Alligator mississippiensis: one gene and its partners. Each later gene encodes a partner of the first gene's protein in a complex. Links are inferred from orthologs where the notes say so. Each region holds a gene or a part of one and is shown on either strand. Other genes may lie near its edges.

Evidence for each region.
Region 2: LIN9 (region 1) and TFDP1 share a complex: the UniProt entries of both Homo sapiens proteins name them as parts of the DREAM complex. The link is inferred for Alligator mississippiensis from reciprocal best matches to the Homo sapiens genes LIN9 and TFDP1.
Region 3: LIN9 (region 1) and RBL2 share a complex: the UniProt entries of both Homo sapiens proteins name them as parts of the DREAM complex. The link is inferred for Alligator mississippiensis from reciprocal best matches to the Homo sapiens genes LIN9 and RBL2.
Region 4: LIN9 (region 1) and E2F4 share a complex: the UniProt entries of both Homo sapiens proteins name them as parts of the DREAM complex. The link is inferred for Alligator mississippiensis from reciprocal best matches to the Homo sapiens genes LIN9 and E2F4.

Annotation. Positions count from the first base shown.
Region 1 is NC_081824.1:179,696,637-179,704,381, forward strand, and holds the start of LIN9 (protein lin-9 homolog), read left to right. Parts: upstream 1-4,337; 5' UTR 4,338-4,365; coding exon 4,366-4,444; intron 4,445-7,745. UniProt on the Homo sapiens protein: Acts as a tumor suppressor. Inhibits DNA synthesis. Its ability to inhibit oncogenic transformation is mediated through its association with RB1. Plays a role in the expression of genes required for the G1/S transition.
Region 2 is NC_081824.1:351,499,087-351,507,737, reverse strand, and holds the start of TFDP1 (transcription factor Dp-1), read left to right. Parts: upstream 1-5,367; 5' UTR 5,368-5,489; intron 5,490-5,560; exon of another isoform or gene 5,561-5,678; intron 5,679-5,852; exon of another isoform or gene 5,853-5,942; intron 5,943-6,363; 5' UTR 6,364-6,428; coding exon 6,429-6,440; intron 6,441-6,983; exon of another isoform or gene 6,984-7,078; intron 7,079-8,651. Other genes in the region: TMCO3 (transmembrane and coiled-coil domain-containing protein 3), read left to right, coding at 667-780. UniProt on the Homo sapiens protein: Can stimulate E2F-dependent transcription.
Region 3 is NC_081833.1:48,731,136-48,739,032, reverse strand, and holds the start of RBL2 (retinoblastoma-like protein 2), read left to right. Parts: upstream 1-4,594; 5' UTR 4,595-4,672; coding exon 4,673-4,879; intron 4,880-5,189; exon of another isoform or gene 5,190-5,394; intron 5,395-7,246; coding exon 7,247-7,377; intron 7,378-7,897. UniProt on the Homo sapiens protein: Key regulator of entry into cell division. Directly involved in heterochromatin formation by maintaining overall chromatin structure and, in particular, that of constitutive heterochromatin by stabilizing histone methylation.
Region 4 is NC_081833.1:31,514,476-31,522,005, forward strand, and holds the start of E2F4 (transcription factor E2F4), read left to right. Parts: upstream 1-4,258; coding exon 4,259-4,387; intron 4,388-7,103; coding exon 7,104-7,213; intron 7,214-7,530. UniProt on the Homo sapiens protein: Transcription activator that binds DNA cooperatively with DP proteins through the E2 recognition site, 5'-TTTC[CG]CGC-3' found in the promoter region of a number of genes whose products are involved in cell cycle regulation or in DNA replication.

The DNA of each region.
Region 1 (7,745 bases):
TAATTAGGATAAAATACTGGAAGGGAACTCCTGGAGAGTTCACTAGTCTACTATGGATGATGCCACACACAGTCAACTGTTGGTGTCCCCTCCACAAATTTACCAATTTCCATCTTTCAAATGTGTGCCGGGGGCCAGGGGGAGGTGGGGCTGATTGGAAGCTGCTCCAAAACCTCTCTACTCTTAGGAACCTTCTAATTTCAGCCTAGGTTTATTCATTGCCAATTTATACTCACTTGTTTGTGTTCCAAGTTTTTCTGCCTTTGTTCTGCTAGACAAACAAATTGAGCTCTCTTAGTCTCCTCTAATATGCTCTCCCTTGTCTTTATCATCCTAATAGCACTTCTCTGCATCTGTTCTAGTTTGAATTCATCGTTCTTGAACATGGGTAATCAGAACTGTGTAGAATATTCCAGACAAAATCTTCCTAGTTTCTTTTACAATAACCCTAATGCTTCCTTACCTCTACTGGAAATAACTTTACCGATCCATTCTAGGATTGCATTTGCCTTATAGTTGCATCAGATTGGCAGGTCATAATATTTTTGTGACAAACTAATACACCCAAGTTGTCCTCATCAGTTGTTCCCAAGTGATAGGATCCTAGCTTCCAGCTGAACTTTGTTATTAGTTCCCAAGTACGTGACCTTGCATTTTGTACTACTGAATTGTATTTCATTTCTGTTACTCCAATTCTCAAGGTTATCCAGTTCTTCCTGTAAGATATTCTAGTCCTCTTCTGGACCTGAGTTTCCCAGGGCTCAGTCCTCAGGCCTGTGCTATTCAACATCTTTATCAGTGACTTGGAGGTGTACACGGAAAGCACACTGTCCAAATTCATTGATGACACAAAGATGTGGGGAGAAGTGGGCACACTGGAGGGGAGGAACAGAATCCAGCTAGATCTAGACAGGTTGCAGAGGTGGGCGGATGAGAATAGGATGGAATTCAACGCAGACAAGTTCAGGATGCTGCATCTAGGAAGAAGGAACCAGAAACACACCTGTAGGCTGGGGAACACCCCTCTTGTCAACACAGAGGCTGAAAGGGAACTTGGAGTCATTGTTGACTCCAGGATGGACATCAGCCACCAGTGCAATGAAGCGATCAGTAAGGCTAACTGCACCTTGTCGTGCATCTGCAGGTGCATCACAAGCAGGTCCAGGGAGGTGATCCTCCCTCTCTATGTGGCGTTGGTCAGGCCGCAGTTGGAGTACTGTGTCCAGTTCTGGGTGCTGCACTTCAAGAAGGATGTGGCTAGTATTGAGAGGGTCCAGAGGAAGGACACTTGCATGGTCGCGTGGGGGGGTGGGGGCAGCAGGCCAGGCCCTACGAAGATAGACTAAAGGGCCTGAATCTATTCAGCCTCCACAAGAGGAGACTGAGATGGGATCTGGTGGCTATCCATAACTCACCAGAGAGGACCAGCAGAAAATAGGTGAGGCTCTGTTCCCCAGGGCACCACCTGGGTTAACAAGGAATAATGGCCACAAATTGATTGGGAGCAGGTTCAGGCTTGATATCAGGAGGCATTACTTTACGGTTAGAGCTGCCAGGCTCTGGAATGGGCTCCCAAGGGAGGTGGTGCTCTTCCCTACCTTGGGGGTCTTCAAGAGGAGGTTGGATAGATGTCTCACTGGGGTATTATGATCCCAGCACTCGTTCCTGCCCAGGGCAGGGAGTCGGACTTGATGATCTGTTCAGGTCCCTTCTGACCCTAGAAACTATGAAACTATGAAACCTACACTTTGGAGTCACCACACTTTTACTTAAATATCTGGATCATTAATTAAAATACAAACAAGATTAGTCCCAAAATTGATCCTTTAGAAACTCCATTGGTAAACTCCTTTCAGCCTGATATTTTCCTTCTTAGGGTTACCCAGTGTTTTCTTTATCTAGGTCCTTGCTGACCTCATAATTTTTCTCCTAATCCTTATTTTCTCCTGCTTCGCTAATAATTTTTCATGCAGTACTGTAGCATTTACTGAAGCACAGATAAAATGAGATCAAATATATTTAATCTGTCTAGAAAATCAGTTATCAAAAAAAGCTGTCAGGTTACTTTGACATAACCTATTTTTGGCAATCCCATGTTGAATTTTACCCTATTTTCCATTCCCATCCACTTTGGTTGCTCTTTCTCTTAAAATTTGTTTTAAAACTAATAGGAGAGTAGTTGCCCAAATTAAAATTTCCTTTCAACTATAGGTACCATATTTGCTGTTTTCTAATCAAATGGTACCAGACCCAACTTAGTAGACGTATTCAAAAATTTTCTACTGGACCTATTATTTAATGGGCTAGTTCTTTCAGAATTCTGGGAATTACCAGGTCTTCTCAGCTTGAATGCATTAAACCAGGGATCAGCAACATTTTGAGTAAAAAAACCCCACAACCTTGTCTTGGAAGATGTTGGCATGCCAGGGGCAGACATCAGGGAACTGCGAGGGGCCTGATCCTTGTTGTGGCCATGGAGCCCTTGCCTTGGGCCCCTTCCACACCATCTGCCCCAAGGCATGTGTGCACCTGCCTCCAGCAGTGATCCAGGCTGGGGCTCCGCAGAGCCTAATGCAGCCACTTGCAGCCTCCTGGCTGCTTACCACAGCCAGCCTGCGCTCTGCAGGCCCCTGCCACCAACCATGGAGTTTGGGCTGCTTGCAGCAGGTGGTAGGGAGACTGCAAGCACCTGCACTGGGATCCACAGAGCCCTGGCCCAGCTTGTTGGTGGCAGTGGGTGCATGTGCACTTTGAGACGGACAGGGGGGAAGGGGCCCGGGGTTCCCTGCTACAAGGATCAGGCCCCTTGCGGCTCCCCGCTGTCGGCCCCGAGGCACACGTGCCAAGTAAAATGCCTTCGAGTGCCACATTCTACCATGTGTACCAGGGGTTGCCTACCCCTGCATTATACTCTGACTTTTGCTCCCATCTAATTTGAGGTTATTTGCATTTTGATGCCCTCGTTCTTATCTATCTTGCCTTTGCCACAAGGTCATCCTTATCGAAGGAACATCTAACTTTGTTTTGGCCTTTGATTCACGCACACAGCATCCTCAATTTCTGTGTATCCTCATGACCTAGCGGCTCCCTCTAAACTTTCCTTTTTCTCTTTTATGTCATTGAAGAATGTTTTGCTCTTTGTTATATTTGACTCCGGTCAATCTAATTCTGCTTGACTTGGGCGATTCTCACTTTAACCCTGTGCTTCTTGGTCTCCTAGCTTCTCTTCTTCCAGCACTTGTAAGCTTGTCATTTAGTTAGGGCTGAAGTCCCTTCCTACAAGGCCTTTCTGCCACCCTGCGGCTTTGGGAACACAGACCCCTGCCAGTTTTACCATCTCGGACTGAAATAATTTCCAGGCTTCCTTTCCACTCAAGCCATTGAGATCCTCAGTGCAACTGACTTGGCTGACTGGTTCCCTTCGTTTATTAGAGGGAAAGGCTTGTGAAATGGAAAATCTTTATGACAGATGTACTGGAGCTTTATTCTTTCATCACCACTCTTTACTTTTTATTATTATTTAGTATTATTACTATTAATAGTTGTTATTCTCATTGTTACCAATCTCATCCTAGTAATAATAATCCTTATTTGTTATGTACTGTTAGTGTGTGAATTTGGGTCTTGTGGGCGTGTGTAGGAGTGGGGGTCTCAGGTGCGTGTGAGTGAGGGTCTCATGGGGGTGTGTTTGTGTGTAGGGAGCGGGGTCTTGTGGGTGTATGTGTGGAGGGAGCGGGGGTCTCATGGGTGTTTGTGTGAGTGGGGGGTCTTGTGGGTGCATACCTGTATAGAAGTGGGGGTCTTGTGGGTGTGTGTGTAACAGCAAGGGTCCTATGGGTAAGTGGGGGGTCTCAGATGTGTGTATAGGAGTGGGTGTGCAAGGAAGTGGGGGTCTGAGGTGTGTGTAGGAATAGGGGTCTCATGGGTGTGCACATGTAGGTAGTGGAGGGTCTCATGGGGTGTGTATGTAGGAGTGGGGGGGGTCCTATGGGTTAAGCATGTATGGAGTGGGGGTCCCGTGTGTGTGTGTGTGAGTGGGGGTCCCATAGGTGTTTTTCTAAGAGTGGGGGCCTCAGGTATGTGTGTAGGAGTAGGGGGCTCGTGGGTGGGGGGGGGGTGTCGTGTGTGTAGGAGTGGAGGTCTCGTGGATGTGCGCCCGTGTGGAGCGGACCGGGGCTGGCTCCCGGGCCCGAACGGTACACTCCGCTCCCTCAGCGCGCGCTGGACAGACGGGAAGCACAGGGGAGCCGAAGACCACTGCCCGGGGGCCCGGCCCCGCCCCGCGCGCTCGTCCCGCGCGCCGCCGCCGCCGCCCCAGTCAGCTCAGCGCCGCGCGCAGGCCCCGCCTACCGCCGCCGCCCCACAATGCCCCGCGCCAGGCAGCCTTTGAAAAAGCGGCGCGGCTCGTTCAAGATGGCGGAGCTCGATCAGCTGCCGGACGAGAGTGAGTGCCTGCCTGGGCCCCTCGCCGCCGGCCCTGCCTGCTCCCCTCCGCTCCGGCCTGTCCCCTTCCCCTTCCCCTTCCCCTCTCCTCTGGCCGGGGCTGCCCCTGCCCCTGCCCCTGTCCTGGCCCCTGCCCGCGGCATGGGGGGGGCCGGGACCCGCTGCCCTGCGGGGCCCTGACAGCGCCCGGCGCGGCGGGGGACCAGGACCGCAGATGCCCCCGCCGGGCAGGGGTGAGGCAGCGGGGGCTGGGGCTGCTGTGAGCGGGGCTGGACGCGGCCTCCTCCCCCCCCGTGCTACGTTCCTGTGCCCATCCCTGCCCTGTCTGCACCCAGGGCTGTGGCACCCCTGGGTGCCCAGGGGTCCTTTCCCCGGTGCTGTGGGGTGCCCTGCTGTGCTCGTTTTGTTTGGGGGGTGATTTGGGGACAAATCCAGAGGTTCACATTAAGGATGTGGGGTGTCCCTACCTGCGCAGGCTCCACTGACTCTTTGCCACAGTCGGGTGATGCTGGTGTTTGTCTGCCCTCAGGGGGAGGGGAAGATTGTAAGATAAGCTGGCATTTTGCAAAGGGGGATCTTGAGCCTCAGAAGAAAAAAGTTAAGACCCTCTTTCCCCTACCCTCTAGTCTGTATAGACATTTTGCTGTACAGGTGACCAGGTGTAGAAATTGGTGCGGGCACCACATGCTGACCGGACACCACTTTTGGTGCAGCCTGAGCAAACAAAAATAGACTGAAAGGCAGGTCGGCATCTCCAGGTGGGCAGTGCTGTGTGTGGATGCCGCCACCAAAAAAGAAGCAGGACTGGAAGGAAAATGACTTCGTTGATTGAGAAATGACACAAAGTGGTGTTACACCTCAAAAATGTAGCCGATGTGGTGGAGGAGCGTAAGGTTGGAGTGAGCAGCACATAAAGGACATCAGGAATGTTGCATAAGGATTGTGATGGAAACTTCTCTTCGTCACAAGCAAAAGGCCTGAAGGGAAATAGTGTAATGTCATCGGAAGAAGACCCCAGCAGACTTTCCGCCTATGTCAGATGGGGCTGGACTCGATCTCATGAGGTCCCTTCCAGCCCCTCATCTATGAAGCACCTGGGGAACCAATCCGTACATTAAGACCAGTGCAGAGCAGTGCAAGGAGGACACAGTGCCCATAATTGCTTGAACTGCTTTGGCAGATGGGTGGCTCTAAATAAATGGTAACCAGGCAGGAAAGAGAGGCCCGACTTTCTTTTTTTACAAACCAATGAAAACAACTACTTAATATTGGTTTGTTTGGGTTTTTTTGTTTGATTTTTGTTTTGTTTTTTTTCAAATCACTTCTAGGCATTATGATGCACAAACATTTATATTGGCTTTTAAAGTTTCAGAAATGAACTAGACAAATTCATGGATTACAGATCCATTAATATCTTAAACAGAAGAGCTGGGGATGTATCCTCTGGCACCTCTAACCCAATGATGGTGGATGCCAGAGCAGGCATGATAGAGAGATCATGATAGATATACACTGTTCATATGTCCTCCCTCTAAAGCGGGGCTGTCCAGCTTATTGGCTGGGGGCCACGCTGCATACCATAAGGGCCATGGCCTCCCCTAACTTCCCTAGCTACAAACTCCCTTGGCACCATTATGACAGACAGCTTCCTGCCTGTTGCACTCTATAAGTGGACAGATATTCTCTTGTCCCCAGCTGCTATTGCTTGCACAAGCAGGTGGGTGGCCCCCTGCCCCTAATGTCTTTGGCTGTATGCTCCCCTGTTGTGCATGTTCCCTCAGCATTGAAGGCATGCTGTCAGCCAGATGCTCTGAGTCATGCTGTCCTGCACCCTGGGGCAGCAGGAGGAAGTGAAGGCCAGAGAAGAAGGAGGAATCTGGAGACCCTGGCCGCAGTAGCATCCAGAACAGTTAACTGGACAGGGGGAGCCTAGGGGCTGCAATTTACCCTCCCACAGGTCGCAGGCCACCAGTTGGACAGTCCTGCTCTAAAGCATTTGCTGCTCCTGGTGCTGTCACAGACAGGTCTATTTGTTATGCCCAGAGAAACATTAGCCTGGGCCCACCAAGGGAACTCAAAGCCTCCATTAATCAGGGAGGCCAGTAGAGGCAAAGCAACTGATAACTTAGGACAACTAAAGTGGAACATGGACTAGAGTATGAGTCACAGGTTTATAGTGTGTATTCCAAGGGGAGAACACTGATCAGAGTACAGCAGCCAGCGCTTGCCGGTCCTCAAACAAGTCCAAGGAGCTAGTGAATGCCATCCAGTGAAACTTGGACCATGGCACAGGTGCTCAGGTGGGCTGGACTGGTCTGACCCAGTATGGCACCGAGTTTCTATGGCACTTAGAATCTGTGATTCACATGATTTTTCAAGGGGGGCATGGTGCAACCCCTTGCTGAAGAACTGTCATGACCCCAAGGCTGAGAATAATACCATATATAAATAATTCAATTATAAACTTCCACGGTAATGCTGTCACTGTTGTACGAGGTTCAAATTCTTGTTGCTTTTATTTGAAAAAATACCAAGGAAGTAAAAATATCTAGAGGGGCAATAAAAGTAATTAGATGCATGGAAAAATTAATATGAGGAGAAATCTTAAACAATTAGAATTGTTCAGCTAACAGAGATGAAACCTACACTAGGACATGATAGAGGTATATATGAACAAAGGGGTAGGGTAGAGAAGGTCAGCCCTATTTCTAAAGGGAGCCAGTCAAAGTAGAGGATACCATACTCAGACAGAAGATGCAGCATCTGCAGATATGCATCCCATACATGGGCACATTCCTGTATATGTGCAAGTTCCCACATAGATGCACCCAACACGTTCATCTTCATGCATTCACAGAATATAGAGCCAACACCTGAAAGAGGCTCTTTCCCAGTACATCAATATTCACCAAACATGCCTGTATGCTTAATATGCACCTGTGAGTTGCATACATTCTCTTGCGGATGTCCACACAGACTACGTACACACACGCACTAACTTTCAGTCGTCAGAAACAAGCTTTTGGTTTAATTTGTGCAAAGATGTGCATACAAGCCAATTGTCACATGATGAATGTTTCCACATGTGTAGTAGAATATAAACATTACATTTGTACCCACCCCTTCTTGGACATTCAGCCATACATAGATACGAACACAGAAAGTATTCTGTAATCCAGTGTTCCCTAACCAGCGTATCTTGATCCACTGGTAGATCTCGGGGCCTCTTTGAGTTGATCTAAGGCTGGGTTGGGGGCCTGCATGCATGAACGCATATGCCCCAGCCCAGCAGGCCAGTCCAC
Region 2 (8,651 bases), about 170 Mb from region 1:
GTGAATACTCACTCAAAACAATCAACACCCCAAAACACTTTAGTACTGGGTGACTAATTTCCATGTGTCACATGAAATAAAATTGCAAAAACTGCACTTTTGTAAAATAGTTGCAAGTTGTCTAAACACAGAAACATAACAATTGTTTGAGGCCTTCTTGTGCGTACAATGAGTTCAGCAGGCTGTGATATATTTTAGTGGTACCTTTTCTGTCATTGTTCTCTACATTATTTTGCATTTTATAATGTGTTAACAACATACTTCAGAATGTATAGTTGTGTCTCCAGAATAAATGTGAACAGCCAATGCATGGCTTATTATTTGGTTGCCTATAAAATGACTAGTATTCTGCTGTTAAATAATCCTATTTTTTGAATGTAAAAGATGCTTGGTATTTGACAAGTGCCTTTATTTGCATACCTTATGCTTTCAAAATTGGCCTGTACATACATTCCAAATGTGGGAGGCATGGTTAAATTTAAGTATGATGTGCATTTGTATTTGCAGGCATGTTCAGTTTCAGGATCAGACTTAGAAGTCAAACTGAAGAGTGGTCCAGAAAAGTTCTTAATTTACTTATCTCATTAGCCTTTCAACCTTTTCTTAATCTATTGTGCATCTATGAATGTGAACTGTAGAAGTTACATTTTGATTTTTAATTTTCAGGTCTACCTCCTTATCTTGAGTGTGACTACGCTAAGTCTTTTACTTGCACCTGCACTGTGGAGAGCTGGAATTATGAAATGTGTACCAAGGCCAGAAAGACGCTTAAGTACCTGACAAGACTTTTAATAATTTAAAAAGAAAAAAGTCTTCGCAGAGATTCTCCTCGTAGCTCATTGTATCTCTATGCAGTTAGAAAGCAAGAGGGTTTGGAATATTTATCTAAACATGCACTTGGTTATGAGCCTTATACTGACACTACATAAAAAAAATGTTTGGTATACTGATGATTGCACAGCTTTTACAAAATACACTGTCATATTAGAATCTGCTAGAATAACTTTTTTGTGTTTGATCCAATCAGTTATACAGAGTAGAAAATATTTTTAAATACTGTATCATGCAAATCACCCTGAATATTTTGCCTTGATGTGCCTTTTTATTACATTGATTTGCATCTTGTACTGTTCATTCATAAAAGTCTTGTTTAAAAAAATCAAGTTATTTTTATGGTGCCTATGGTACCTTCTTAATGTAACTCTTGAGCAATTTAAGCGTGTAATATTTAAGAGTTAATATGCTGGTTTTGCATTGGTTGCAAAACATTTTCAGTGGTGTGTAAAGCCTAGACATTTACACAAAAATAAGGTTTAGCAGCTCTGGCATAAAGCTTTAAGTGCTAAAATGCATATTCCAAAATGATGCAGCCAGCATTATACATTCATACTCTGATTTTTATGATATTTTTTAAAACATTTTATGTATTTTATTTGTATTGTAACTTTATTTGTTCTGGCGTCTTCTATTTATTGACAATATTTCTGACCTAAAGGTTGATTTAGGGGTGACCTGACTTCTAATTTATGTTTCAAGACTAATTCCAACTGTCAACACTTTCAATTATTGATTTACTGTTTTACTGATTGTTTATACTTTGTATTCATTGAGACCAAAATAAAAGTGTACGTATGGAAAACCTAACTCTGAGAACTTGAACTAGACATGGAAACATTTAAATTACTTACTAAAAGTTGTTGAGATTGGATGTCAATGTTGATTCTACTTTACAAATTATTTTGGTTAAATTATTTTGAACAACACAGGAAGTGACAACTCTGGGTATGCATTGAAAACTGGCATAATTACATTGCATCAATATTGGATCAACTTGAGTGTCTTAAACACCAATGTTTTGAATGTGTTATATGAGTCTGGATTTTTTTTTTTAGTCTGTTATAGAGTAAACTTTGTAAGAGCCCTTTCTTTAAATGTCGTAGAATGTAGTCTGCTCAGAGAAACTAAAGTGATTCATCTTGGGACTTTTTATCTGCTGTGTCCTGTTTTTATTACACTACAAAGATGTATTTAATAACTGTAAAGACATATGTACAGTAGTAACATTTTCAATCAAGTATTGTACTGTCATATGAAACTGCCATTTTTGTGAGTCAACTATAGAAAGATGCATGTTGCATATGTACATTAGAATCTAACATGCCAATTATTAAATCTACAAGAATCCACTATCTAAGCAAATAGTATTCAGATAATAAACTTTCTTTTAATAGAAAGAAACTTTGAATCTGCTTTATCATTTTTATTTCAGCATCGGACATTCAGTTTACAAAAGGAATTCATCAGCCTGTTTACTTGTATAGCAGTCAAAATAACTTACTGTTTCACACTTAAATGAAGCTCTAATTTATGCCAGGATATTGGTAGATTTTCCAAATGTCCTGTTTAAAAAAAAGGGGGGGGGGGCAGGAACCCAGAATAAAATATGAATCTGCTATGGAGAACTTTTCCTTATGCTATTGAGTAGATTATGTCAAAGAAGAGCTATCTTTTATTCATTTTCTTTTGAAATTAAGACAGCCACATGAAAGGAGAGTGGTATTTTGGTCATTAGCTGGCTTGAAACACGGATGTGCACATGTGCTATATTTGGACAGATGTTGCTGGTCCAGATATTGAATGTAATTTGCATAAATGGGACCGACTCTTGATTCAGTCAGATGTCCTGAGAAGTTTTAAGAATTTGAGAGAGAGATCCTTCCCTGTGGAGCAGTCACTGTTTTTGCCCCTCTTTTGGCATTAGATAAAATGCCTTATTCTAAATCTGTATTGCAATATTTATTACTCGGATGTGCTGAGGAAGACCCTTCAGTGCAGGATGATAGGAGATCATCACATTTATCTTTGGAACAACTGAGTTCCTGTTGCATGGCAGAAGGCATTTCAGTGCTGAAGGCCCTGCACTTAAATGGAACAGATATCCCATTTCTTCTCACATATCTTCTGATATGAGTGAGGCTGAGGCCAAGTCTAGTGAGAGATGACACCATGAAAATAAGCTATCTTGTGCACAATTCTGTCATGCTTCCATAGCCTGAACTTGAGTGACCTATTCTCTTTTGAAAATACACTTGAAAGAAAATTAAACAGCAGAGCATAAGAAAAACACTGACCAACACTACTATCATGAAGAAAAGCCAGATTAAAGTGCAGGGGTAAATGCTGTAGTATTGAAGGAAAAAGATACTCAGTGGTATATATATCTGAAGGCAGTCATTAACCCCCCAGAATGTGCTGGAACACTTGTGGGGGTTGTAAACAAGGGTTGTGTACGCACTCTTGCACCAGTAAGAGGAAAAACAAGTGCTGTACCTTTTAATTTAACCACTTCAGTAGTACTTTAAACCAGGGGTCGGCAACCCCCAGCACAGGTGCCAGAGTGTGGCACATGAAGGCATTTTGCTTGGTACATATGCCTTGGGGCATATGGTAAGGAAAGGACAGGGGCTGTGCTGCCACAAGTATCACAGGTCCCTTGCAGCTCCTTTGCTATCCGCCCCGGCACATCAACACCTTACAAGATGAGGTTGTGGCTGCTTTTGGCACTCTGTGAAAAAACATTGCTGGTTCTTGCTTTAGACAGAAAGGCAGTAAGTGGCCTGGAAGGTCTGACTATGATGGTGAGACAGGAGGCAGTCTTTATGAAGAAGAGATAGAGTCTAAATGAGATGTTTTTCTTCTGTCCCTAGTTAATCTTCTTTCAGAGGTAGGGGTGGAAACATGGGGGTACAGCATTTAGCAGAAGGCTCATTACCCCTCTGATCCTCAAAAGGACATGGAAGAATTGGAGACGGTCTGAAGAAGGGCAACAGGGCTGATTAGCACTATGGAGGGGTTTCCACAGGAGACTAAAAAGGCTATGGCTGTTCAGTTTAGAAAAGGGATGCTTAAGCAGGGACATGAGAAGGGTTTACAAAATACTAAACTGTGAAGAGAAAGTAACTAGGGAGTTATTACTCACAACACAAGAATTAGGGGTCACAAAATGAAATTAGTTAACAAGGCAGTTCTTTTTCAAGCCACGTGCCAAGGATGTGGATAAATTGGAGAGTCCAGCAGAGGGCAATGAAAACGGTTCAGGGTCAGGGGCTGAGGGAACTGGGCTTATTTAGCCTAGAAAAGAGAAGTCTGAAGCAGCCTTCAACTACCTGAAGGGGGGTTTGAAAGAGGATGGAGCTAGACTGTTCTCAGTGGTGGCAGATGACAGAACAAGGACCAATGGTCTCAAGTTGCAGCAAGGGAAGTTTAGGTTACATATTAGGAAGAATTTTCTCACTAGGTGGGTAGTAAAGTAGTGGAACAGGTTACCCAGAGAGGTTGTAGACACTCAACCCTTTAAGGTTTTTAAGACCCATCTAGACAAAGCCTTGGCTGGGATGATCTGGTTGGGGTGGTCCTGCTTAAGCAGAGGGTTGGACTAGATGCCCTCCTGAAGTCCCTTCCAACCCTAATTTTCTCTGATTCTATGATACACACTTCTAAGCAGTACTTTTGTACCTACTTGTAAGGTAGGCAGGTACCAAGTACAAGCTATGCATAAAAATTCTCCATATCTAATCTAAACTCCCCTTGCTGCAGCTTGAGATCATTGCTCTGCCACCATTGAGAACAGTTTAGCTCCATCCTCTTTCAACCCCCTCTTCAGGTAGGTGAAGGCTGCTCTCAAATCCCGCTTCAGTTTTCTCCAGACTAAACAAACCCAGTTCCCTTAGCCTCTCCTCAGAAGTCGTGTGCCCCAGCCCCCAATCCATTTTCGTTGCCTTCTGCTGGACTTTCCAATTTATCCACATCCTTGACACCAGGCTTGAAAAAGAACTGCCTTGTGTTAACTTGTTCCATGCTGTGACCCCTAATTCTTGAGCTGAGAATTTAGGATTCCAAGAGGGATGGGGCAGCGGGAGCTAGCGAGCAGGGGAGAGAGGAGCGACCTGGACCTGGAAGCTGCACCTAATACAGGAGAGTGGAGAAAATCCTGGCCACAGACAGACCCGCTCTCTGCCACCGGGCAAGATGGGCCTCGGCTCCAGCACCCAGCCCGTGGCAGCTCTTCTGAGGTCTGGTGCTGACAGCAAGGCAGCCAGCCCTCGCTTAAAAGAACACCCGTGGGAGTGGGAGAGAGGAGAAAAGCAGTGCGAGAGCTTTCCCTAGTACCACGCCGACCTCCCTCCCCACACCGCCGTCGTGGGGGCGGGGCGCTGCTGCCCCGCCCCCTCGCGTGAGCCCACGTGCCGCAGGCCAACAGCCTCCCGCCGCGCCGCTCTCGCGCCCATGCTTCCCGCGCGGCCGCCGCGGGGGGCGGGGCGAGACAGGAAGAGTCGGAAGGCGCGAAAAGCTCGCGCATGCGCGTTTCCCTCCCCCCTCCCCACGTCAGGGGCGGAGGATGCCCCGGGCTCCCCGCGTCTGGCCGGGCGAGGCACGTTCTCCCCCGTGACGTCAGCGCGCAGCGTCACGCCGGGGGGACGCACAAAAGTGTAAGTTTCAATTTTTTTTTTTTTTTTTATCCTCCTTCCTGCCAACGGTAGGGGCGGGGGGAGGGGGCGCGATCCCCCTCGGGCGGTGCGTGCGGGGCCCCGCCCCCAGCCCAGCCCGGCCCCTCCCCCTCCCCCCGGCCACCCCGCGCAGGGCGCCCTCGGCGGGGAGCTGGGGGGCAGAGTGAGCAGGTGCGCGAGGCGGGGGGTGGGCAACGGGCAACGGTCGCTGCTGCTGCTGCTGCTGGGGGGGGAGGGACTGCCCCGAGGGCACGTGGGTAGGGGGCTCCCGCGCGTGTCCCCGCGCCCGGCCCGGCCCCGGCGGCTTGCAGAGGCCCCGAGCCGCCAGCGGAACCGCCCGGCAGCCGCTCCTCGCTGCGAGGCTGGGACGAGGGTGGGGGTGCCGCGCTGGGGTCGGCCCCTGAGGCCTAGGGCCTGCGACTGCCGCCGTGACAGGTTGGCGGAGGGCTGTGTGGGGGAGGGGCGCGTGTGCGGTCGTTGGGGGGGGGGTTGGAGCGGGGGTAGCTGGACAGCACCCGGCCCTGCCCCACCTGCCTGCCTGTCTGGCTGCAATACCCCGAGGGCTGTTGGGAGTCATGGGGGGGAGGTCGCCCCTGGGGCTGAGTGGGTTGCAAAGGGCTAAGCCGGGGAGGGGGAAGGGGGGCAGTGTCCAAAGTGGGGGTGGGGTGGGAGGGAGACGGCCCCATCAGAGGGGTTGGCCATGCTGTGAGGGGACCAGGGCTGTTCTCAGCGTCCCAGCACCACTTCGCTAAGTAGAGAAATCACCTGTGTGGTCCTGTGCCAATAGTGCTGCCAAAACTTTTCCCACCTCCTAGCTAAAGCTGGTGTTTTTCTCTCTCTTTCTCTTCTTTTTTAGGCCGTTGGACTCTTGCCTCCTTTCGCTTCAGCAGGCCCCGACGTTGGTTTCAAGGCACTGGTAACATGGCAAAAGATGTGAGTGCGCGGGAGCAGCCCGTTTCCACGTGTCTGGTGATGCATGGGAACGAAGCGGGCTGAGCATTGTGCCCATGGCATCGGTGTCGGTGGGAGTGCATTTTCCGCACCGCGCTGGGTGGGGGCTGCGCTGTCTTTGTTGCTCCTGGAGGAAGCTCGGGATAGAATTTTTATGAGCTCTAGAACCGGGGCGGAGGGAGTTTAAGATTTGAAAAGACCTACAGCCATTTGTTCAGTGCAGCATAACAAGAACCACCATCTTGCTGAAAAGCATTTGTGATGCTGGCATTTTGTGTGCTTTTGTTGGGGATTTGAAAACCTGATTTTTCATTATTGTGCCAGGTTTTTTTAACAAACAAACAAGTGAATTAATTTATTATTAGCATTCAAAGTTGTCAGCCAGTTACCTCTGAGTGATACAGAGGGACAGATGAGTATCACTGCCATGCCTTGACTCGACCCTATTTAAGAGCCACATCATATTTGAGGTAGTTCCTATGTAAGCTGTTCAGTCTCCATGCCTTCGTTCTTTCACCTTTCTTCTGAAACTACCAAAATGATGCCACTTAGGGCCATTAGGATTCAGGCTTCGGGGGATTTCCCCGTAGGCTGCACAATTGAAGCTGTTCAACCTAAAGGTGAGTCATAATGAAAAGGGACTATCTTTTAAACTGTTTCTCTCCTTTTCCACTTTTAATGTCCTTCTGTACAATAAGAATATTCATCTTCTGCACTCTTAATTTAAATTATTACCTTATTTTATTATCATTGGACTTCCTTATTGGCAAGATACCAAGAAGTTTAAATATTCTCATTTGTATATCAAGATGTGTATCCTAAAGATTTAAAAATGTAGAGAACATGCATAGCTGTTTGGGTTTTTTTAATTAAAACTGATTTTGATCTAATTAATTGAGGATGATGTGAACTGTTGCAATCCTCGAAGTGGCAAGGATTTCTGTAAAATGTGGTTTAAGAAAAACCTTAAGACTGACTTAATGAATGAGGAGACAACCAACCAAAATACACAGTTGCTGAGAGCTTGCCAGGAAAAGATAAGGGTAGCAAAATGTGTTACAGATAGCTAAAGAAGCTCAGGGGATAAAAAGGAAGAAGGCCTGCTATTAAATGAGGGTGAAATTAAGGAGTTTGAAATTACTGAAATATTGAAGTTATTTTTGTTTTTAAATCTATCCTTTCAAAAAAAATAAAAGAACTTACACAATTAATGCATATGAGGATAATTTGAGAGGGAGAAACAGCATAAAATATAATGTGTTTAGGAAGAGAAGATTGGCAGGACCATAATAGATTTTTAGATATGTACAAGTTCATTTATAAAGAAGGTGATTGATTATTCTCTCTGTTCACAGGGGTAGGGGAAAATAATTAGTTTAATTTACTGCAAAGATGATTTAAGTTGGGTATTAGGAAACCCTTTCTAAGGATAAGGGTACTTAAAGCAGTGAAGCAGGCTACCAAAGGAGGTTGTGAATCTTTCTTCCTTTGGAACTTTGTCTGTTATAAAACCCCTGTTAGGAATAAACTAAGCATACTTAATCCTGCCTTGGAGTAGAAAGTTGGACTGTATGATCTCTTTCAGTCCCTTTATAGCCCTATATTTTTGTGGTTCCTAAGAGTCTGTAAGGTGAGTTTATATTTTGCTAATCAAGTTGCAATGATGCAGACCATAAGACTGAGGTTGGCAATGTTTTTTGGCAGCAGGGCCAAAATGACCCAGCTCAGGTCTGAGGCGCTAGGATAGGACCGAGCTGTCTAGGGCACAGTGCAGCACAGGCAGAACTCCATCAAAACTCCTGACCACAATATGGGTCAGTCAATGCTCCCCTCCACTGAAGCCCTTGGTAGCTGACTCTGCCATGACACAGGCAGAGAGCTCTCTCTGCTGAATGCCACCAAAGCCACGGTTCTACAGGCCAGATTCATGGCTCAGCAAGCTGCAAGTTGCTAACCCCTGGTGTAAGGCATTGGGTTCATTGGCAAATTTGGTGTATCCAAGCCAGTTTAGTAATACAAAACTCAGGTACTAGTTAGTATTGTTTACTTTTTTTAATCTTCATAAAGGAAAAAAAAATTGAGATTCACTGTCCAAAGCCTAACTTCTGTCCTTAGTAAATAACAGGATGAGTCACAAGAGAAAAAGTATCAATATATTTCTAGGTTCACATTTTACGAAGACTTTTGTGTGTG
Region 3 (7,897 bases), on another chromosome or scaffold:
GCTTCTGTAATCTGTTGGATAAACATTCCTGAAATACTGTGGAGTCTGTTTTCAGTTGATTTAATCACTGATAGGTAAAATCACTGCTGCCAGAGCCTCCAGCTATGCTTCTTAGAATGAATCAGAAACTCTGTGGTATGACTTCACTTACCAAGAAGCAGGTTTAAAAAAAATAAGACAGACAGACACCACTCTTCTCTCCTTGTGTTGACTTGTTTTTGTCCTAGTCCTAGAATCAGAGAGCCCTTCCTCAACCTTTTAGTTTTCTTGAGTTCTTCCAGATGGAAAGAAAATGCATAAAGTGGGAGAAGAAAGGGATACAAGAAGGAACAGATATTCTTGGTCACATGTTCCAGGTGCAACAGTTAATTCTCTGACAGCATGACTTGGTTCCCTGCCTCTTGCCCAATTCATCTTTGATCAGGCATCAAAGGTGCAAAACCCTCATGTAAGTGAACCAGATATGGTCTGCTTTGGGCCTCCCTCTTACTGCCACCTTAATTTTTTTTTTATATATAAATAAAACAGTCTCCCTCATATATATGAGGGAGAGGGAGACTGTTTTAGATAATTCATTGGATCTTTTCTGTCAAGGTTTAGGAGTCTTGGGGTAGGGCACTTGCTTCCACCAACACCTGCTAACTGGCTGCCTCGCCTCAGGCTTTGTTCCTGATGAAAGCTGATTACAGGACAGTTTTGATTTACTGCTGTGCAGTTTGTTTCCTGCTGTCTGATCTCTGCTGTGCCTGTTCTAGCAAAATAAATTGGAGATCAGTTCTGTCCTTCTGGGAGCAGCTTTTAGTTTAGTTGTGTTTAATGTCAGCAGCATCCTGGTGTACTAGGACTCAACCCATCTCCCTGGGCAAAAATTTTGAGATTCCCTTTGGCATCAAGCCTGCCACCCATTCAGCTTACACTGCAATTTCTCCATTATTTCAGCCAATCTAGCTATATCTAGAAGTGGATAACCAGGCAGTTGTGAATTAGTTGTCTTATTTCTCTTCAGAACAACTTCTGATAACATTTGATGCATCTACACAAGACGCTAAATGCGCAATTGACTAATTCTACTGCACATTAGTGCATCGCGGCAAAAGCCGTGCTAATGCACAGTAAAATTAGTCTACTAAGCATTACCATCACTAAAAAGGTGTGTGGTGGCACTACTGTATAGTTACACTAGTTGCTGCACATCAAGTTAGTACCTGTTATTACAAGTACTGAATTTAATGCACAGTAACTATGGTGCCTTAATGCACGGTAGACATGCCCATTCCCAGTTAGCTTAAGCCCAATGGGATGTAGATAAAATTAGCAAGAGGTCTAGAAAACAACCTTGTCAGTGAAATTTAACTTTGTTACCACTGTGTTCAAAAGGTTTGTTTAATCTGAAGTGGAAACCAGAAACAGTATAACACACAAATCCTACTACTCAGTGCTTAGTTACTTACTCCTTTTGAATACTCTTTTAAGTAACATCATTCCATGTACTCACAAAAGCCCTTTTCAACAAATGTTCAGCAGTAATGCTTCTGAGCATTTCAAGGAAGGGAGAAAGTATTTGTATTTCAGTACCACTTAGAAGCTCCTGTCTCAAACCAGGGCTTCATTGATTTAAGTGGTGTCTACATTGGGTATTTTTCTGTAGGCAGTAATACTGGTAGCAGAAGTTTGTTGTTCACAAGATCTGTGATAGAACTGAAAAGTGAAGGAGAGGTAGCAGAAAGCAGTTGCATAGAGTTAATATGTTAAAAGATATTTATTTTAAGCTGATTTCAAACTGAATAACTTCCGATAACATAAAAGCAAGTTATTTTTTCAATGGATTTAAATTCTTCATGGGGGGGGGGGAAAATTCAATGAATTATGTATGAAAGTTTTCTTTGTTGAAAGTCTCCTCTGAACATGCAGTACTAAATATTTTTCCATATCTAAAAACCAATAGGATTAGGGCTGTAAATGGAAGTTTAATCATTTGGAGTAGGGGTGCTCAGTCTCTGGCCCATGAGTCAGACATGGCCCACGGAGCCATCATATCTGGCCCACAGAGCTGTCCATGGGGTGGGAAGTTTGGTGGCAGGGAAGCAGTGGCCATTAATACAGTCACCCTCACCTTGCCAAATTCCCAATCCCCAAACTGTGCACTGCACTGCACTTCACAGCCAATCCACGACACCTCTTCCACCTTCCACATCTGGATTGGTGGATTGGGTCGGGACCATACTCTTTCCCCCTCCCCCCCCCCCCTTTGCAGAGCTGGTTTGGGGCTAAACCACACCCTTCCCATGTCCTCTCCTGCCTGCTGGGTCAAGCCCTGCCCGGTTTACTCATGGGGCTGGGATGGGGCCTCCCCCACACCGTGAAGCCCCCCTTTTCTCTATGGGGCCAAGCAACACTCTCCTCCTGTGTTGCAGGATTATAACTGGGCTGCCCCCTACCCCTTCCACATGGCTGGATGGTGTCCACTGCACCAGTCCCAGTGCTGGATCACTGGCAGGATCCAGGCCATGAACAGACACAGGGCATTATTCTTGCTGGACTCCCACAAATGTGATCCTTTAATAATTATATCAAAGGTTTTCCCAATAATAGAGATAAGGCTAACTGGCCTATAGTTACCTGGATCCTCCTTCCTCCCTTTCTTGAAAATAGAGGCCACATTTTCCCTTTTCTAATCCTGTGGGACCTGACGAGCATCATGAGCGCTCAAGCAATCGTGCCAGTACTGCTATGACACTGGCCAATTCCTTCAGCTCCCTGGGATGATCATCTGGGCCTGCTGACTTAAACACATCTAGCCCCTCCAAGTGTCCCTTCACTAAGTCAGCACTAACAGTTAGTGGGCTGGTTTCCCTCCTGTGCTCATCTACAATCCGGTTGGGAGATATGTCCTGATTCATGGTCAGGAATACAGATGCAAAAAACTCATTGAAAAGCTCAGCCTTGTCCCTCCTATCTGTCACTAATTGCCCTAGTCTGCTCTGTAGGGGTCCTATGTTATCCTGCGCCGCCTTTTTGCTCCCTATATACCTGTAGAAGGACTTTTTGTTGTCTTTAATGTTTGTCACCAGCCTGAGTTCCATTGCTGCTTTGGCCTTTCTCACTGCCTCCCTGCAAGTGAGAGCCAAGGAGGTATACTCCTTGGTAGCTGCCCCCTGCTTCCATAGCCTGTATGCCCCTTTCTTTGCCCCTAGGCTTTCCTGGATTTCCCTGTTCAGCCAAGAGGGTTTCTTGGCCCCTTTGCCCCCTTTCATGCGCAATGGGATTGTCTCCTGCATTTGAAGGATCGTTCCCTTTAGGAATAACCACCCTTCCTGGACTCCCATCTCATCAATGCCCCTGATCATCAGTACCTTGCTAACTAATTTTCTGAGCTTATTGAAGTTGGTTTTTCTGAAGTCTAGCACTTCTGTTCTGCTGGTTATCTTTCTTGAGCCAGCTTTCCCTTAAAATGAGTAGGAGATGAAGCTGGCCAAAACTGCCATGGACTTGAATGAACATGATGCTTGGAATTACAGATTTGAATCTCAGTAAACTTTAGCAAAAATGGCTGATTATTTACCTTTCATGCTCTTACTAATACAGTGCCACCTAGCGTTTGTGAAGCAGATGAAAAATGTCACTGGTCCAGATTTTTGGATTGTTTCAGGTACCTAAATTCCTTCCTTTTCCTCCAGTTTTTGTTCATAAACTCAGCCATGGCTTTCATAATACAATTTTAGCTGTGAAACTTTATTATCAGAAAACCAAAAAAAGATGCGTGCATAGTTTATATTTTCTCTCTCAAGAGCCACAGCAGAAGTCTTAACTGTTCTTGACTTCCTGTAATGTCTATTGTGTGAATATTTCTTCAGTACAGAAGACCGAGAGGAGCTCATTTTTTCTCTTATCTCTGTCATCTGTGTTGAAAGACACTACTGATTTATAACACAGTCACGTCTCTACAAACAGATCCATTTGTTCATTTCACGCTGCACGGCAGGTACTGGTGCCTTTAAATCACTCTCCAGAAACCGTCTGACTTATCAGGTAGGCTGCCATGTTCAGAGACACAGACCCTTCCGTAGGGTGCTGTGGAGAGCGGTGCAGCGCGCAGGCGTGCTGAGTAAGACAGAACAAATGAAGTGATATTAATAAAAAGGACAAGGAAAGGTAGAAGAAGGGGATCTACTGCGACCGTGCAAGGGAGATAGGATCTACCCACGCTCAGCGTTGGCCCAAGGGAGGCCCACGTGACCCCGCTTCGGTTCCCTCCCGCGCTCATTTGCATACAGCCTTCCCGCCCCCCGCGGCGGCGGCGGCGCGCGCAGGCCGGAGGGGGTGACGTCACAAGGCCGTGGAAGACGCGGAGTCAGGCACCGGAACTCCGCCCTACTGGCGGGGGTGGGGACCAGCTGCGAGAGCATGCCGGGAGTGACAATCCTATGTCGGGTTTGGGCGCAGGGAAGAGGGTCTGGGCAGCCGTGGAAAACGGAGTGCGCCTGCGTGAAGGGGGGGACTGCTGATTGGTAGAAGCACCCTGCCCTGGCCAATGGGAGGGCGAGGCGGGGGCGGGGCTCAACGCCGGGGGGTTAGGATTCGAATGCGCGTCGGGAAGCCCCTGGCCGGGCGCAGGCGCAGTGCGAGGCGCGGGGCGCTGCCCCCTAGCGCCGGGGCTCGTGGCGGAGGGGAGATGCCGGGCGAGGAGGAGGAGGAGGCCGAAGCGGGGCCTGGGGGGCCTGCGGCCACCTCCCCCGCGCCATGCCCGTCACCGCCGGCCGAGGAGTGGGACACGCGGCAGCGCTACGAGGAGCTCTGCGGCAGCCTCAACATGGACGAGCGCGCGCGCGCAGAGGCCTGGCTCAGCTACCAGGGCATGAGGCGCAACTACACCCTGGAGGTGCGCGGCGGCCGCGCGGGGCGGGGCCCGGCTGAGGGGCAGGGGAGGGTTTCCGGGCCCCTCCCTCCCCTCCTCTCGGGCCTGAGGGGCGGCGGCGCCCCGTGGCCCTGCCTTTGGTCCCGTCAGAAGTGCGCGGAGAGGGCTCCGCTGCGGCCTGTCGCTGCATGTCCCGCTCGGCCGCGCCTCGTGCCGGCGGAAGGGTTTTGTGGCCGGGTGTAACGACGTGTGGGACCAGAATCAGACCCCCGCCCCCCGGAAGGGTAGCTGGGGGATGAGAGGAGCAGCCCCTGCAGGGGTGCCATAACCAGACCTGGACCCTCAGCTTCTTTCAGGCAGCCTAAAATCCAGGCACGATGCATAGCCTGGGCCCCGAGCGCCATCTGCTGCGGGGTCTCTGTCCTGGCTGCGCCTGTGGTCCCAGCGTCTGAGATCCTCCAGGGCTCCCATCGTGGGTGCCTGCTGCTTGCCAGTGCAGCGGGAACCCAGGATCAGGCTCCGCCTACACCCGCATGATTGGATCTAAGCGTGATCCCGTAATTGCACCTTTTGCCACGCATGTGTGGCATGGCAGGTGAAATTGTGTGGATCGCGTTGGGTTCAATCATGCCGTTACCCCCAGGTGTAGAGAGAACCAGATATTTTTATATCCATTTTGTGTGGTAGCACCTCACAGCTGGCAGGGTGTTCTGCGCTGCATAATTTCCTAGCATGGCTCTAAAGCGATGTAGTCATCTTGTATGGGTGACAGAACAGACTGACCAAAACTATATTCCTTCAGAAAACACTAGGCTCTCTTCTCAGAGCTAGGTAGTGTCTTGGATCTATTGCCTTTGTGACTGACTGAGTTACAAAGTACTGTAGAAGTTTGAAACTTGACCAAGTAGGAATTTCTTAATTCCTTAGTTTCTAATTGTTGATTTTTATTGCAATCAACCTAGACAGTCCAACCTGAAAGTATTAATCCACAGTTCTTCTGGTAGAAAAAAAAGGAACGTACCCGTGGTGGTAATACTTAATATAGTTAAATTCAGTGCATGTCTGCGTGCTTGTGCACACATGTGTATTGTTTATCTAAATAGACAATCATTCCATTGTATAATATGGGTAGAAGAGAAGATAGTTCAGGGAATTATATCCTGGCTAGAAACAGCTATTTTATAATGATCGTGTGCTGGAAAAAAAATATACAGGCATCCCCCGCTTAGTGCCATTAATTGGTTCCAGAAAAACTGAGTGTTAAGCGGAACTGCGCTAAGCGAAACCACTTTCTCCATAGAAATAAATGTAAATAGAAATTTATTGGTTACTGCCTGCCCCACTGCCGCCTCTCCCCCGCCCACCTGCTGACACTCCAGCCCCACATACCAGCCCGGGCCCATGCTCCTGCCTCCTTGCTGGTCTTGGCCCTGGGCACTAGCACAGGTCCCACGCTCATGCCTGCCCCCACCCCCCTTGCTTGCCCACTGGCCTCTCTGGCCTCATGTGCCGCCCTGCTCTGGGCACCGGACCCTGCCGCCGGGTACCAATGCGGGCCCTGCACTCCTGCTGCCCCACTCCGGGCACAGGTCCCCACTGGCCTTGGCTCCAAGCAGTGGTGCGGGCCCCAGGCCACTCACCTCTGTCGCTCCCCACCCCCCTGCTGAACCTCCGATGGAGTGCCATCATGGGCACTGGTGCTCTTGCCGCCCTGTTTTGGGTGCAGGCTTCCACTGGCCCTGGCACGGGCCCCACACACCAGCACAGGTTCCACCCCAACCCCAGGTGCAGACCCCTGCCAGCCCAGGCACCAGCTTGGGTCCCACGCTCCTCCCCTCTTTTGCAGCCACTTGTCTCCACCCACCACACCTGCTCCTGCACCATGTGCCTGGGCCCAGGCTTCTGCCATCCCACCCTGAGCCCTCATGCCTGCCTACGCACTCACTGCCACTCACTCACCTCCCACTCACTGTTGTCGCTTCCACTTCTCCCTGCCCTCCTGCCTGCTGAAACTCCGATTCCACTGAGTGCTATAGCGAAACTGGCTGAGCGCTCAGTGGAATTGGGAATCAATTCCAAGTGAGCACTATAGGAAAATAGTGCTAACTAAAACCGCATTAAGCAGGGGTTGCCTGTAATAGGAATACGCTGGAATTTTGGCTTAAATCTGAAGTGTAAAAAAAAAAAAAAAAAGTTAAATGGCTCTTCAAGTCATTTTGATGTTACCCAATTTGAACCTGTATCTTGTATAGCTGAAATATGGTTCATTTCGGTAGACCTTTTAAATACTTAACACCCATTCCCTTTAAATGTACCGGGCATTTGTTGTAGCTAAAGTAAATGAAAGTCTTCCAAATGTATGTTTTAGAGACTTAATATTTAATTTTGCAGGGAAATGAACTACATTGGCTGGCATGTGCTTTATATGTGGCTTGCAGAAAAGCAGTCCCAACCGTGAGCAAAGGGACTGTCGAAGGAAACTACGTATCTTTAACTAGAATCTTGCGCTGCTCAGAACAGAGGTAACCTCCTCCCCTCCCCCCCCATGTGTTTGCACTTGTAAAATATAAAAAAAACTTTATTTCAGCTACAGCCATTGAGAATGAAGGCATCTAGACATTGAAAATGAAGAAAAATAATAATAATTTTAACTCTTAATACCTGCTTTTGGACACAAAGTATTTAAATGTCAGTGCCTTTGTAACATCACTTAACACTATTATGAATTAGTTTATCATAATGAAACATTCCTAGTATTTTGAATTGGGATATTTAATGTTGATTGTTAAAAGTGATTAAAAAGTAGCATAACAAGTTTCTCAAACTCCAAGACTGGCCTTTCTAAAGTCAGAAGTAGAATAAGTGGACTTATAAAGAATAATTATAGATGCATGTTTTTCATGATGAGTGAAACTTGAACTTGCCTTTCTAAACCCAAAGGAATACAGACGGACCTATAAAGAGTTGTTAGTTATATGTTTTTCTTGAGATGAGGTGAAATGTGAGCTGTCTGTTCAAAAGCTAATACTTATACCTTGAGTT
Region 4 (7,530 bases), on another chromosome or scaffold:
ACAGGAACAGGAGGATGTCTGGCATTCCCCTGCCCCCAGTCCATTTCATTTTGTAAAGGGTCTTCCTTGCCACCGCCTCCCATCTGGATCCCCAGAAGACACACATGGCTCTCTAGATTCTGTGGGTGAGATGCTTCGAAGTGGGAAAGACCACTGCGGTGTACAGAAGCACCAGTAGCAACACTGCCTTTATGAGTGCCAGGTGCCTCCCCATGGAGAGGCAGCGCATGTGCCACAGACCCAACCTCTGCTTAACTTTGGCCTTTGTCTTTTTCTATGCCTTCCTTCCACTCAGCTCAGGGTTGAACTCCACCCCAAGGATCTTGACCCCCTCATGAGGGACAGAGACCCCCAGGGACATTAGGTCCCCAAGCTCTCCCACACCCAGACAGATGCTTTTACTTACATTGACCTTGGTCCCTGCTACCACTTCATAAACCTGTGCGCGCCACAGGGCTCTTTCTACTGACCACTTATTGTGGCACAGGATGTTCAGGTCATCCGTGTACACCAGGATCCTGGTCTCTTCTTTGCTGCTGCTTGGGATCTGGACTCCACGTATCCCAGGGTCCTGCCTAATGCGCTGGGCCGGGGGTTCAATCGGGCTGGGTGCACATTACAATGTTGCAGAGATTTTTCTCTCTCTCCTGAAGTGCACACTTTTGCCAGCAACTCTCTTTCATTCTTATACAATTTAACTGTATAGCTTCAAAGCATTCCTTCTTGATAGTTAGTAAATTAAAGTTCAAACAAAGCAGGTAGGGAGGGACCACATTACAATTACTAACTGCTCAGATCCTGTTTTGGGTCGTCTAGTTGTGAAACTTATTTTTCCAAACTTTTGATCAGTCCAGAGGTTACACTTCAATCAAATAGGATGGGTCTTGATTGACTGAACAAGATACCTTGTAGAACTGATCACAGAACAGTGTTTTGGGTAGTTATTTTAACAATAGGGCAGAACCCAAAATAGTCTAAGTTGGTGATGGTTTATGGAGACATTTGCAAAACTCCAAACAAACACTGAATAACTGTTCTGACAAATATGCCTTAATCCAGGGAGAATGTGTCAGCAAGGAGGATATAGTCACATAGGAATATACAGTTATTTATGAGTGGTTTAGCATAATAAAACATTGGGTACATTTGCAACTAGCACAAGAAATTAAATCAAATGGGATTGCTTTATTTTGCATGGTCCCAGTCACAATCTTGCATTCTTGTGCAAGATGCACTGTTGTTTTAATTTGGTCATTTAAATGTCATTTGTAGGTCTGGACAAGCTTTCACAGTTTTCACTTGGCATCAAAGCTTGTTTATCATACTTTAAGGTGCAATTTTATTTGAAACATATAAACCCAATCAGATCTAGGAGTTGTTAGACCAGAAAGGACCACTAGAACCATCTTGTTTGATCTCCTGTATAACAAAAGGTAAAGGTTTTTTGTTCTGTAATTCGTGTACCTAGCCTGCAAATCTATGGCTGAAACACGTCCCTTATAAAGACAATGAATGTCCATTTAATGAAGTTTTTAAGTCATATACAACCTAGCACATTCCTGGCAAAGAGTTCTAATCTATTAAAATAATTATGTGTTATTAATCATTCATACTATTAAAATGCATACAGTATTTTTACTCTGAATTCATTTGGCTTCACTACAAGTCACTGGATTTCATTTTACCTTTGTTAGCTAGGTTAAGGAGCTCTCTGCTACCAGAAAGCCTTTCTTCATGTAGGTACTTATAGATCAAGCTGCCTCTTCATCATCTTTCTTTGGCAAGTAAATACACTGAGTTTTCTAAGTTCTAGTACTCAACAATCATTGTTGTGGCTCACTTGAACCCTATTTTTAACTAGAGTTAATCCCACCTCCTTCCTTCAGCTTATACATCTAAGAATTGCGTTAGCCCATTTGCCCAGAGCATCATGGCCAATTGAAAAAGAGTTAATGCAAAAAAGTGTGTGGGTCCCTCCTGCCCCCATCTCATTGCCTTTTTTTGCAAATCAGTATTAAGGATCAGATGACAGCATGTTGCAAATGTAGATGCATTACAAAGCTACTCAATCTCCAACCCATGGGCCAAATATAGCCTGCAAGCCATCATATCTTGCCCCCAGGAGTCCCAATGGGGTGGGAAATTTGGTGCCAGGAAAGCAGTGGTCATTAACATGGTCACCCTCCCCATACCAAATTCCTAAACCCCAAGTCCTACACTGCTGGTTGCTGCTGGGCCATGCCTCCTTCCCCACATCTGGATCAGGACTGGACCATGCTCTCTCTCCTCCCCATCCAAACCAGTTTAGGGGTGGGCCACTACCCTTCCACCCCACTCCCCTCATGGGGCCAAGCCATACCTCTTTCCCCTTCAGGGCCAGGTTGTGGCTGCATTGCCCCCCCCCGCCAACTCCCCTCCGCGTGGCTGGATGGTGCCCACTGCACCCACCCACCCTGGTGCCAGATCAGGACCACTGGCGGGATCCAGCCTGCAGGTGGACAGGACGCTGCCCATCCGACTAACAGGGGGAAAAGGTTGAGCACCACTGGTATAGCCTATACTAGTTCCTTGAGTGAAATCCATACCAGCAAAAGCACTTGTATGCTAATACACCTGCATCTACACTAAAGCTTTTGCTGGCATTGAAAAGTCATAAAAATCCCATTCTGACAGCTCTATATCAGCAGATTTCTTTGTGCTGACCTTTGTGGCCTCTCCTCATCAGTATTAACCACTGCACGCTCCTCCATGTCACCTACAAGCTTCAATACTCCATGATTACAGACTTTCTTCTAAATCATTACTGAAAATACTGATTACTGGTAGACTAAAGCCAGATCACCCATTCCCCTTTAACTAGGGTAGCCATTCATCCGGTTTTATAGAGGACAGTCTGGTTTTCTGCTACTCTGTTCTCTGTCCTCTAGTGATATGAAACCAGATGCCTTGATGTCCTCTATTTTTCTCTGGAGACACTCAACCTTTCAACCCACAATTGAACTTAAGATGGCTTGTCTTCATTCGTCAATATGTTTGACATTTAATCAATCCCGTGTTTGTATCGGACCTGAGAATGCCAACAAAGATCCTATTTGTCATGCTTCCTAATGACGTCCTTACGTTACAGCTGTTGCTTCCTGCCGTTAAATGTTTGTCTTCAAAATCAGTTTGACATCACCCTTAATTCAAAATGTCCAAGACGACCTTCAATTCAGAATGGTCAAAAGAATGTGATTTCATAGCGAAAAGCAGAAAGGGTGAACATCACACATCCTGTACCCTGTGATATCGATGTCAGCAGCCCAGGAAACGGAGCTGTATATCATCACATTGTGTCAAAAAAACACAAACTGAACACTCGAACATTTAACTTTTTGGTAGCTTCTATAGATGTGGTTATTATGAATTAGCACTAAATTTAGTTTTAAAAAAATCCCTATGCACTAAATGAAACTGTCCTCTATTCTTGAGGTCCCTTGATGGCCACCCCACAGTTCATTTCTGAGGCCTATCAGTGAGCCAGTTTCTAGTCTGTTTACTGGGCGATGCATTGGTTTTGTGCTGTACTGTTATATAAATCAGAATGTAGCTCTTGGAAATTGTACCTTTCCCATGAATTTGTGAGAGATGCTTCATGTAACACATACAGAAAAGGAAAAAATATGCAAAATTTCCAAAAGAAAACTAAAGCTCAGATTTTATGTTTGTAGCTGTTGTATATTTAGGGCTTGTGCCAAAGGACATAAGCCAACCCACCACGATGTTGATCCAGACCCACCTGCCTCCTGGCTGCATTTTTCATGGGGACAAAGCGCTGGGGTGCCATTCGCCCCCAAGCTACCGGGACGGGACGGGACGGGCCGGTCTCAGAAAGGACGACTGTGACTCAAGACGAGGCTGCGCCCTCCCCTGCCCTGCCGCTCCGCGCACTGCCAAGTGCCGCCGGCGCCCCCGAGGCCGGCAGTTGCCACGAGCCGAGGCGGCGAGCGCGCACCGCACAGGCCGGCCGCCGCCGCCGCCAGCCACGACCCTCCCGCCAGGCGCGCAGCCGCGTGGCACCAGCGAGGCAGTGCTGGGCCTGCCCTGGGCGCGCGGAGACACGTCTGCACAACACGGGGGGGGGGAGCGCCCACCTGCCCGGGAGGCCCCCGAGGCGCGGGGCTGGGCCCGGCCCCCGGCCCCGCTCCCCCCGGCCGGCGTTTCCCGTCGTGCCCGGCGGCCGGAAGCGGAAGCGGCGCGGGGCCGCCGGGCCGGGGAGATGGCGGAGGCCGGGCCGCAGCCCCCGGGGGGCGCCCCGAGCCGGCACGAGAAGAGCCTGGGGCTGCTCACCACCAAGTTCGTGTCGCTGCTGCAGGAGGCCAAGGACGGCGTGCTCGACCTCAAGCTGGTGCGGGGCCGGGCCGGGCCGGGCCGGGCCGGGCCGGGCCGGCTGGCGGGGGTGTCCCGGGGCCGCTCAGTGCCAGCGCCCGCGCGGCGCCTGGCGACGGGGCCGGGCCGGGGGCGGGGGCGGGGGCAGCGGCCGCGCAGGGGAGCCGCGGCCGGGCTGGGGGACGGCGGCAGCCTCGGCTCGTGCTGCAGCGCCCGCTGCGTTTCCTCCGCGCTGGCCCCGCCCAGTCTCGCTCCACTTCACACCTGCGGGGCGGCCCCTGGGCCAGCGCCAGGCACAGGAGCTGGTGGGCTCTCTCTGCCGTCGTCTGCTGGCCTGTAAGGTGCACGTCTGCCTCGCTGAGGTCTGCCATCTTTGCCTTTGGCAGCTACTTCATTGAGCTGCTGCAGGGAGGGAGGGAGGTGGGGGGCTGCGGATAGCTGCCTGTCTTCCCTCTCCCAGAGCATAGGTGTGAGGCCCTGTACCCAGCACAGTGGCCACGGGTAAGTGCATCCAGCTGCCTGGTTACGTCGCTGTTCAGAGAGCTAATGCAGAGCGCTCAGTCTTGAGAACTGCTTCTCCTGCTGGCGCTTCTTGTCTGGGCAGCGGCACTGTGGGCACTGGGGTGAGTCTTGCCGGTATCTTATTGTGCTGCAGTCGGTGCTGTAAGTAGCAGGTGTGATCTCTGCCATCTGGGAGGCTTGGCAGCTTCTTAAGATCCCATGAAGGAGTGTCTGAAATGGAAAGTGCATCTGGAAAAGCTGCAGTTGGCTTGCTGTATTCAGAGAAAAGTAATTTATTTCGGGTCTGAGAGTGGCTACAGATGCAGCAGAACTCCTGAGTTTAGGACAGACCTCAGTCAGAGAGGGCAGGTATCATCTCTGCTGTGTTGACTGCTTCCTCCAACCCTGCATCACTATCTCAGTCAGTGTTGGTTCATGTTCAGTCATCTTGGTTTCCTTCAAGCTGTAGTCTTGGCGAGAGAGCATGAAAGCTGAGTGCCTTGAACACAGATAATACCGTGAATCAGATGTAGTTGTATTCTATATCACTTTCATACCACAGCCCAAATCCTGGTTGTCTTCCCCTAGTGATCTCTTGCACACAGAAGAAATGAAAATAGAGTGATGTAATATATTGTTCAGAGCCCTTGAGAGAAAAGTATTGTTCTTTATTGTTTTCTGGTCCTCGGAGCTAAAACAGCCATTCAGACGGGGCCAAACCTATCACTTCCATAAACTATAGGCAAATCATTTTCACCTTGTGCTCTGTGGCATTTGTGGTGGCTCAGGGAGAAGAGAATTGGCCTAGGTGTTGACTGGAGATCATTGTTTTTTAAAGAAAGCAGCGTGGACTCTGTACTATAGCCAATGTTTAAACCCAAGCCTTGTCCACACTTGAAAATGTGTTTACACGTGTATTTTATGCTCATGTTGTGTGTGTGGATCTGTATTCCTGCTGGTGATCCATTTCATATAGATCCAGTCAGATACAAGAGGCATTATAGAAATACAGGAGTGGAAAGGACCCATAGAATCCACTTCTTGCTATTGCATACAAAGCAAAGTCATTTGGATTTTGTCAAAAAAAGGTATGCTTGCTTTGTCTAAAAAATGGCTTGCAAATGGGACTCTTGTTTGTCAGCATTACTTGAACTAATGATTGGCACTGCCATGGAGAGCTGACTCGACATGAAAACTCTTCAGTGACCTGTGCATGTATAGTATCACCTAGAGTGTTGGTGCCAGTTTTGTTGTTGCAAATCTGTAACTTCTGTGCTAGTGTGACACCAATTTCAGTCCCATTTTTGCAGGATTATTTTGGATGGGAACTGGAGCAAATTGATGGGCATCCAGAGGTTTGTTGAGAGAATGGAAGAGAATATGTGTTTTGTGTGTGAGCAGACCTTATTAACAAATCAGTTCTGCTAATTAGAGTTTTGTGAGGAGACTGGGTCCTAGGTTTGAGGGGTGAGACACTGCCTCAGAAGTGTGCTAAACAAATCTGGAGACATCAAGTACTACATGAGTCCCCTCCTCACAACCTTCCTTTTCCTCAAAAAAAAAAAAAAAGTGAGGCATGGTGGCTGAAATTTTGAGGGCCAAGGGATGGCGTTTTGTAATATTGGTTGAGCAACCTTCATTTAAGAGATACTAGTAACTTATATGAAGGAGAGGTATTGGCACTTTATACCAAGACTTGTGACATTTAGATAGAAAAGACCTGTTGGAATATCCAGACCTGTTCCTGACAGTGCAGGATTAGTGTCAGTGTTTTCTTCCTCCAGCTTTTTCACCTCCCTGTTTCCTCCTCTTAACCTCAAGGTTTTGCCATTCCAGTAGAGTGTACATTAAATTGGAAGGTCACCTCACAAAGTTCCTGTAGAATTGAGCATTTAATCCTACTCTCTCTTAGTATGACTCTGCTGTCAGGAGGTTGTCCAGTCTGCATCAGAACCAGATGAGATTGGGGAGATGGTTAGGATTTAGTTTGTGATTAATAGGGGATTTGGGTTGAAGACTGAATTGCAGGGAAGATATAATTAGCAGTCAGAGAGTAGATCAGTGACTGGTTTCATGTCCCTTGACACACAATCTAATTTGCAACTTGAGGTGGGAGACAGATGCCACCAGAATCATAGAGCCTGATCTGTACTGGTATGATGTCCAGGCCTGGCGAAAGGATGGAGCATAAGAAGGAGTCTGGAACCGATTGTCCATCTTTGATTTTTCCACAGGCAGCAGATACCTTGGCAGTGCGGCAGAAACGGCGAATCTATGACATCACCAACGTACTGGAGGGCATTGGGCTCATTGAGAAGAAATCCAAGAACAGTATCCAGTGGAAGTGAGTGGTAGAAATGCTTTGGCAGTGTTAGAAAATTATGGAAGGAAAAAGCCTCACCCTGAGTGAGTTTCTCTCAGGGCCTATCTGCATGTACTCTCATCGCCCCTCCTCCCCTAACTGTTCCCACTGTTGAAGCTCCACCTATGGTTATTATAGTGACAGTGTTACTTTGGATAGGGCCGCAAGCACCTGGTATTCTAACTGTCGTGTCACATGGACCTTATAGATTCATAGATGTTAGGGTCGGAAGGGACCTCAATAGACCATCGAGTCCGAACCCCTGCATAGGCAGGAAAGAGTGCTGGGTCTAGATGACC